2 linked regions of the Oryzias latipes genome follow. The protein of the gene in region 2 interacts with the protein of the main gene of each other region in a biochemical or structural test. Links are inferred from orthologs where the notes say so. Each region holds a gene or a part of one and is shown on either strand. Other genes may lie near its edges. The genes, in order: mcm5 and signal transducer and activator of transcription 1-alpha/beta.

Region 1 (4,423 bases), on a different chromosome or scaffold from region 2:
GGCGATGTATTTCTTAAAGGTGGCGAGAGGAATCTCGCCCTCGACTCCTTCCGTCTGCGTCTGCGCACTCAGGTGGACGTTCATCACGTGGCGAGCCAGCGTCTGCGAGCAGAGTCAGGCGGCAAAGTCAGCGGAAGCACTAAAGAGAATTGAAGCATCAAACCTCCCGTCGCGTCCTCTCACCATGTCTCGCTGCTGGTCGTGGTGGTCCTTGATGATGAAGATCATGTCGAAGCGGGACAGGATGGTGGGCATGAAGTCGATGTTGTCCTCGCCTTTGGTGTCGTCCCAGCGGCCATACACAGAGTTGGCCGCCGCCAGCACGGAGCAGCGGGAGTTCAGGGTGGTGGTGATTCCAGCCTAAAGGCCGCAGACTATTAGCATTTTTCCAATGAAGCCCAATAAGGAGGTCAAACTTAAGGCGGTTACCTTAGCGATGGAGATGGTCTGCTGCTCCATGGCCTCGTGGATCGCCACTCTGTCGTCTTCTCTCATCTGAGGAGAAAAACAGCCTGAAGGACGAGCAACCCCGATGCTGCCCCCCAGCTCACCCTGGACCTACCTTATCAAACTCATCAATGCAAACGACACCACCATCCGCCAGCACCATAGCCCCTCCCTCCATGATGAATCCACGAGTGCTGGGGTCTCTCAGCACGGAGGCGGTCAGCCCAGCTGCACTGCTGCCCTTACCTGATGTATAAACCTGCAAGTGAGAGTCAGCATCAGAACTTTTTTCCCTCCGGATAATTAAAAAAAAAAAAAAACACAAACAAATACCCCGATCGGTGAGCATCTCTCCACAAACTTAAGCAGCTGGGATTTGGCTGTTCCAGGGTCTCCAAGCATCAGCAGGTTGATGTCTCCTCTGCGCGTGAGACCGTCAGGTAACCTAACAGACACAAGAACAGACTCTTAGCTTCAAAACAACATCGTTGCAGCAGCAACAAAAATGAAGAAATAAACCGTTCTATCGCCGTACCTCTTTCTCGAGCCTCCAAACAGCAGACAGGTGATGGCCTTCTTCAGATCGTCGCTGCCATAGATGGAGGGAGCGAGGGACTGCGCCAGGGAGCTGTAGATGTTGGGAGAGGTAGACAACGCTCTCAGCTCTTCTTCCTCCTGTGCAGAGACGGGTCCGGTGGCGCCGCGGCCTGCAGCCAAGAAACAAGAAGATAAAATGACCCCCCAAACCTAACAATGTGCTTCTCACAACCAACCCTGTCATCGGGATCTTTACCTGCTCCTTCCGTGTCCACCTGGATGCCAACGACTCGCAGGTAAGATGAACGAATTCCCACGCCGATACCCTTTTCTTTGCCTTTGGCCTTTACAGCAGCCATTTTTTTGATAGAGTAGATGCCCATGATGGTCACTCGGTTGCCCGGGACCACGCGGTCACACAGGTACCTGGGGACGGAGGAAAACCTCAGTGGCGTGCCGCAAAAGCAACGGAGCAGCAGACTCCGGTGATCTCCATGGCTACCTGTCGCAGTAGAGCTGCAGGTGGCGCGGCATCTCTCCGTGCGGCACAGCATCGGGAGACTCCTGCAGGCGGAGCGTCTGGAAGTCCACGCACACGCAGCGGTCCGGGATGATGAAGTATGGATCCATGGGACACTTCACTCTGCCAGCATTCTCGCTGAAAACACAGAAGGTCGTTTTGAGGCTGAGTCGTCTAGCAGGGTCAACCTGAGACCGGAATGCGATTCCTCACCTGTTGCATTTTCTGGGCAGAGCGTAACCCTGCAGGCCCGGAGGCAGGGGGATGTTGGGGATGACGCTGCGGCAACCGCGGCACTGCAGGCACACCTTGGTGGCCTTCGCCTTGACTGCTGTGGCAGAAATGATGATGCCGTGGACCTTCACCAGACGGGACACTTGCTCCGACTGGAAAGACACACAGAAAGGTGATCCATGTGTGGAATGACTGCAACGTCGGGCACAGCAGGGTCCTAAGGTACCTTCAGGTTCCGGATGGATGTGTGGTGGGCATCGCTCTTCAACATGACCTGGATGTCCTGCACCGCCTCCTCCCCCACAGGTCGGGGTCGGGTCACCTCATCGGCCACCTCCTTAGCTGCTTCCTCCAGCTTAAGAGATACGTTTTATCTATACATTAGTCGTGAGTCAGACTTTCATGACCGCATAAAAATGTGAACTAGGATACTCACCAACGGCAGGTTCTCAGTAGGAAGTTTGTAAAGGCAGTCAGACAGATCTTCATCAAAGCTGGCAAGATCCTCCACCTCCACCTCCAACCAGAACTCCCCCAAAGTGTAATGTCGCTTCAGCTCATCTCTGCGGAACAACAGGAGACAATCAGGACTTTTGAGCTTCTAAAGCAGATGTTTTAATCATATAACTACATTTCCCATAATGCAACTGCCTCGTGATATAGCACCACTTCACTTATCGTTTACTTTGAAAGTAGATGCAGATTTGAGAACCGCTTTGAGTTCATAAGGAGCCTGACCTGTATTTGTAAGTGAACCCGGTTTGGTCAGTTCCCTCTCTGAACTGACGCAGGAACTCTCGGAACCGCTTCTTGATCTGGACCCGCTTCTGTCCACCTTCGTCCCCGCCGGGTCCCTCTCCCCCGCCGAAGCTGTCGCTGTAGTAAACGCCGGGGTCGTCAAAGCCAGACATGCTGAAGCGGCTGAAGCTGACACCAAAAGTTGTGCTTTTCTGGAGCCAAACAGACAGGAAGGACCCGACTTTGTGACGACGTTTCGCGGGAAAAACTGAAGCGTCTTCCTTTCTGTTTCCCGCGGGTTCTCTGCTAGTTCCGCCCCTTTCCTAGACTCTGATTGGTCAGGTTCAAACATAGCTTTTCTTTATTTGTCGAACATGTAGATATGGGCGAACTCTTCAGCTGAAGGCGGGGCGCTGAGTCGCGATGGCGCGAAAAACAGAAGAGGAGGAGCTTCTGAAGCATGGCGACAGCAGAAAAGCAAAATAACAAAGAAGGGCCACGAGCTTAGAGAAACCTAATGACACATTTTCTCCTAGATGTAGAATTTGAAGTGAGACAGTGAAACCCATGCAAGCACAGTTTATTTTGAGTTAATTAAAGCAACTTTTTCCACATAAAGTTACATTTTTATCAATGATAAGGCAACTTAAATGTGAAATGTGTTAACCTAATAGGAAAACATTACAGCTGCTGATGGATGACGCTTCAGCCTTCTAGCACCTCTTTTGTCTTTGTTCTGCTTCAAAATAAGATCTGAATATGTTCAGTGGGGCAAAAAAGTATTTAGTCAGCCTTGTGCAAGTTCTCCCACTGGAGATGAGAGAGGCCTGTAATTTTCATCATAGGTATACATCAACTATGAGAGACAAAATGACATCTATGACTCCCCAGAAGATCTCCCCCGTGGGCTCCCCCGTGAGCAAAAATCCCAGAACCACATGAGGGACCTGGTGAATGACCTGCAGAGAGCTGGGGCCAAAGTAACAAAGGCTACCATCAAAAACACACTACAACGCCAGGGACTCAAACCCTGCAGTGCCAGACGTGTCCCTCTGATAAAGCCAGTACATGTGCAGGCCCATCCAAAGTTTGCTAGAGAGCATTTGGATGATCCAGAAGAGGATTGGGAGAATGTCCTATGTTCAGATGAAACCAAAATAGAACTTTTTGATAGAACTCTACTCGTCGGTTCGGAGGAGAAAGAATGCAGAGTTGCATCCAAAGAACACCATACCTACTCTAAAGCATGGGGGTGGAAACATGATGTTTGGGGCTGCTTTTCAGCAAAGGGACCAGGACGACAGATTTGTGTAAAGGAAAGAATGAATGGGGCCATGTATGGTCAGTCAAAGTGACCTTGGGCAAGACACTGAATCCCACCTTGCCTTTGGTGGGAGGTTGGTGCCAGTTTTCAGCAGCAGAGCCGCCACCAGTGTGTGAATGCGTGTGTGACTGGGTGAATGGGTCTGTGACTGTAAAGCGCTTTGGGCCTTGAAGAAGGTAGAAAAGGGCTATATAAGTATACGCCATTTACCATTTACCAATCCCAAACACACTGCCCGGGTAATGAAGGAACGGCTTTGTAAGAAACATTTCAAGGTCCTGGAGTGGTCTAGCCAGTCTCCAGGTCCCAACCCCATAAAAGTTCTTTGGAGAGAGTTGAAAGTCTGTGATGCCCAGCGACAGCTCCAAAACATCACTGCTCTAGAGGAGATCTGCATGGAGGAATGGGCCAAAACAACTGTAAAAGATTATGTAAACCCTGTGAAAGCTTACAGAAAATGTTTGACTGCTGTCATTGCCAACAAAGGGTAAATAAAGTACTGAGCTGAACTTTTGTTATTGACCAAATACTTATTTTTAACCATAATTTGCTAATTCATTCTACAAAAATGAGACAATGTGATTTTCTGGATTTTTTTTTCTCATTTTGTCTCTCATAGTTGA
Region 2 (4,563 bases):
TCTGCGGGTGGGTGGGCATGCACGGCTGCCGCTCCACCACCAGGGAGCTGCACACAGAAGGAGGAGATGCTGACGCGGCGCTTTGCAAAAAAAAAAACACCAAACCGTCTAAAGGGGGAGGAGCCTACTTGGAGAGAAGGTTTTTGAGCAGCTCCAGAGTTCGCGCCTCCAGGAAGGCTTTCTTCTGCGTGATGGGGTCGTTGTCGTACGTGAACTTCTGCTCCAACTCCTGCAGCTTCTTCAGGTGCTGGCGGACCTGCTGGAGGCTCTCCGCCGCGGCCGTGAACCTGCGAGACGAGGAGGAGGAAGAGGATGTGGCGGAGGAGGACGCCTCGCTGAAGGAGATCCTCGGCGGGTTCTCACCAGTTCTGCAGCTGGTCCACGCAGGCGTTTGGCGGGCCGCCGATGCAGGCGATCTGCTGCCGCTGCTTCCACTCCGGCAGCTCCTCGGAGATCAGGTCGGTCAGGAGGGCGTGGATGACGGTGAGGAGGTCGCTCAGCTGGATCACCGCGTCCTGGAAGGAGGAAGCGGGTGAGCCCCCAGGCCTCCCCGCCGGCTCTCAGCGGCGACGCCTCGGCTCACCTGACGCTTGGATTTCAGCTCGAAGCCCATCCGGGCGATGCCCATCTTCTCCTTCTCCAGCTCCTTCGCTGTCATGCCGTTCATCTCGTTCTCTGCCAACAAAAGACGGGATGAAAGGCGAGGCCGCGCTCCCGATCCCGTCCACGCCGGAACGCCGCCTCACCTCTATTCTTCAGGGAGTTGACCCTGAAGTCGTACTCGTCCTGCAGGTCCTCCACGTTCTTGATGTTCACGTCCACCATCTGAAAACACCGAGAGCCCCCGGGGTTAGGAGACGCCGCCGGCTGCAGGAGCTGCAGTGGCTGCAGTGGCGGCGTGGCGTGTGAACCCCACCTGGACTCGGTCCCTCATCTCCTTCACTTTGTTGTCCAGCTTCTGCTTCTCCACCACCATGGCGGACACCGTGCTCTCGCCCTCCTGCTACACAAACACACGCCTCTGTCACCCCTTTGTCACGCCGGCCCACAGAGCGGCGCCGCAGTCTGCGAAGACGCCTCACCTCCATGCTCTTCGCCTTAGCCAGGATGTTCTGCTCCTCTTTCAGGTTCCTGGAGATAATCATGGCCATGTGGACCGGATCCTCCTGGAACCGATCCTGGAAAGGGAGAGAACAGCGGTGAAGTGGCGCCGGCGACTTCCGGGTGTCGGAGGGGTCGGCGGGACTCGGACCTGCAGGTTCCTTTTGATTTTTCGGATGTTGTGCTGCAGCAGGAAGTTGTTCTCCAGCGCAAAGCGGCTGTGCTGGTCGTCCAGCTGAGCCAGCAGGTCGTGGAAGCGAATGGTGGCCAGCGAGTCCTGCATCGCCACCGTGTCCCTGTAGGGGGAGGGAGGGGTTGGACAGGTGAGCGGCGTGGGCCGAGGCGCAAAGCTGGAGAGCGCCGGTCTGCCCGCCATTACCAGTCGATGCTCTCGATCCACTTGCTCAGGTACTGGCGGATGTCCATGGGGAAGGAGTCGTCGTACAGCTGGTCCACCTGCTCCAGGTACTTACAGTCCAACATCTGAAGCTGGCCCCACTGCGCCATCTTCTGGGAAGGTCAGGAACTGCAAACAATTTACCAAAACATTGATAGAAAACCAAAGAAACAGGAATTAGCATGGATGCTAACTACGCTGTTCAAATTTTCACTTCAATGTGAATTTGCTAAAAATATTTCCAAGGAAGAAAGGGGGAAAAAATAACTAAAAGAAAGGAAGAAACTTCTCCAAACTTCACAATTTTGATGGCTAGGCCATCACAAAACTTTATTTAAATACACAAATACTTCTTTTGCTTTGTGGTTGTGCTCCAAAAACAAAAATACAGAAAATATTTCAAAGAATTCTGACAATCCTGTCTTTACTAGAGTCAAAGGTTAAGGCAGGTGTGGTCTTTGCTTGCAGGTTAAGACAAAGTAAATCAGAAATACTCGCAGCATTTCTGTTCCTATTTTTAATCATTTTCAAATTTTCACTTTTACATTAATTCGCATTTTTTTCATTAAAGACTTTAAAACAAAAAAACGTAAAATGAAACCTCAAAAAAGGAAGAAATCGCACCATTTTGGTGGCCGAATCTTCATTTAAACAAACAAATGCCTGTTTGGCTTTGAAGGCTGCACAAACCACATAAACAATAGAATAATTCAAAAAATTCAGACAATCCTGTCATTTCTGGGGTCAAAGGTCAAAGCAGGGGTTTTTTCTTCTTTTTTTCTTGCAGTTTACGACATAGCAAATCATAAAAGCTCACACCATAAATCCTCCTCGACTCACGTCCAGTAGAAAATAATAATAATTTATAACAAAAACTTTCATTCAGGTTCTACTTTTAGAAAAAATTTCCACAGATTTGTTAACCCACTTGTTTAAATAAAGTTATTGACGGTGGCACCGCTGCAGACACTTCACGTAACGTCACTAAAATTGTTTACTTTAGCTTAAATCTTTCACTACTGTTCTATATTGTCATCCTTTAATGTCTATGCATAGTTTATTACATACTCGTAAATTGCAGACACATTACAACGCGTAATAACCATAAAATGTGACGCAATTCGTCGTTAAAAACGTTGCCAAGGATGAAGAGTCCGTTATTACGAGCTTTCATGAAGGCGGCACTACAAAAAACACCAAACTTGTTATTATTTTATGCATTTTTCTCTCATTATCTTTTGTTTTGTCCCGCGTCGCGCCTATATGTTAAAGCGTTAGCACAAACGACAGCTACTTGGTAAACATGTGAAGATTTAAAGGGTCACAACTGCATTATTTATGTGCTTTTTATGGAGTTTTCTCCTAAAGTTTATCACTAGCTTTAGCCGTGTTCAGGTTGTTGTTGCAACTAAACTAAACGGGCAGACAAAGATGGCGACACACAGTCGGTCAAACGCGGTGCCAAACTTACCTTTCACAGCTAAAGGTTGGTTCCGTTTTCAGACAATTCTGCTGTATTTGAGCAGTTTTTCCTTTTCCCAATGTTGAGGAAAGGAGCCTGGCAGGCAGAGACACGCCGCTTCCGTCGATGGACGGTCAGACCAATCACAGCTCAGAACGTCCGGCGCCTTCCCGCCTCCGTCTTCTTTGTAGCCAATCAGAAAACAGTCCACGAGGCTGTTCCTTGAGTTACAACACTAACTTTTCACAACGCTTAAACAGAAGGAATTATCACTTTATTTGGTCAAAAATGACCGAAGGATTATATTTTTACGACTAATTTATGTTTACGAAGACCCCGAAGGTTGCACACAGTCTCTAAATCCTCATACGAGTTCTAAAAACAGGATAAGAATCGTTTTTTCGGAGGGAGGGAACGCAAGTAGTAGAACAGCGGGACGGGATCACGTGTTTTCAGAGAAAGAGAAAGGGGTAAAACTGAAACTTAAATAAAAGTATAACATTTAGTGTATTTTATTGATTTACTCTTTGAAAATGATGTAATATCACACTATAAATAGTCTAGAGTGTAAAGTAGTGCTTTAGTTTTATAAATATTGATATAACATGTATACACAAATATTTTTTCTATTTTTTGACATACACATTTTGTAGTTTTGTTTTTGATTTTAGTTAATAATTGACTTTTTGAATTTAAGGTTTAGTTTTTAACCCAACCAATTTAGTTAGTTTTAATGTCTATTCAACTGTCTGTTTGTTGTTTGTTTTTTACGTAGCTCGCAATTTTGTGTCATTTTTCCCCCCAAAACATGTCCTTAAATCTGGTTTTCCCATGTATGATACTTGACTGCTAGATTCTCGCCTTTCCCATTGCAGTTATCGCCGTCCTTAATCCTAATTGCCAATTTGTGAAGATGAAGGGGTTGTATGATGTCGTATTTGGCCAATGTGGAAGCAACAAAACAAACACCGACACCACTATGACATGTGGGAATTATAATTAAAAGTATATTAATGTTTTATATGTGAGTCAAGCAAACATGAGACAGGTGTATGATAACTTGTGACTTCAAGTGAAGGGTGACAAAGGTTAGAATGTGAACCTGGAGGATGTGCAGGATGTGGTTAAGGGAGCTTCAGACAAAGATCAAAAGAGGAAATAAAGAGTGACAAAGGTCAAAAGAGAAAGGTGAGTTAACCTGGAGGCTTTGTTAAAAATAACTGAGCAGGATGTAAGTTATGCATACATTATGTGTGGATCAATAAAAAGAGCTGTCCGACAAGGGGAAAGCAGAGTTTTAGCACAGTCTGTGTGAGGAGCAGATGTGAGCAGCTGTGCTGGAATTCTCCCTTTGCAAAGGCGAACCAAAGTTTCAGGGTGTGAAGTCTTATTATTCTAACCTTCAACTATAGGATCCTTCTGACTCTGAATCAGAACCCGGGGAAGTCAATTTGGGCTTCAACAGCCATGTGGTCAAATCGGTGTTCCTCTCTTATGCTACGTTCACACAAGCCATGTGTAAGTGTCACTGAAAAGGTTACAAGATTAGTTCATTTTTGGTTAATATCTTTAATATCTTTTCGGAGCTTTCTTGAGGTGCATA

What was found.
Region 1: the proteins of signal transducer and activator of transcription 1-alpha/beta (region 2) and mcm5 form a complex in vitro, tested with the Homo sapiens proteins (2 studies listed by BioGRID). The link is inferred for Oryzias latipes from reciprocal best matches to the Homo sapiens genes STAT1 and MCM5.

What each region holds. Positions count from the first base shown.
Region 1 is NC_019866.2:21,037,777-21,042,199, reverse strand, and holds the start of mcm5 (DNA replication licensing factor MCM5), read right to left. Parts: upstream 2,804-4,423; 5' UTR 2,650-2,803; coding exon 2,477-2,649; intron 2,302-2,476; coding exon 2,175-2,301; intron 2,094-2,174; coding exon 1,965-2,093; intron 1,891-1,964; coding exon 1,718-1,890; intron 1,643-1,717; coding exon 1,487-1,642; intron 1,411-1,486; coding exon 1,241-1,410; intron 1,155-1,240; coding exon 983-1,154; intron 893-982; coding exon 781-892; intron 707-780; coding exon 563-706; intron 496-562; coding exon 430-495; intron 361-429; coding exon 184-360; intron 103-183; coding exon 1-102. UniProt on the Homo sapiens protein: Acts as a component of the MCM2-7 complex (MCM complex) which is the replicative helicase essential for 'once per cell cycle' DNA replication initiation and elongation in eukaryotic cells.
Region 2 is NC_019860.2:3,991,121-3,995,683, forward strand, and holds the start of signal transducer and activator of transcription 1-alpha/beta, read right to left. Parts: upstream 3,103-4,563; 5' UTR 2,970-3,102; intron 1,650-2,969; exon of another isoform or gene 1,628-1,649; 5' UTR 1,609-1,627; coding exon 1,481-1,608; intron 1,398-1,480; coding exon 1,253-1,397; intron 1,179-1,252; coding exon 1,083-1,178; intron 1,004-1,082; coding exon 917-1,003; intron 826-916; coding exon 747-825; intron 676-746; coding exon 584-675; intron 516-583; coding exon 364-515; intron 288-363; coding exon 129-287; intron 48-128; coding exon 1-47. UniProt on the Homo sapiens protein: Signal transducer and transcription activator that mediates cellular responses to interferons (IFNs), cytokine KITLG/SCF and other cytokines and other growth factors.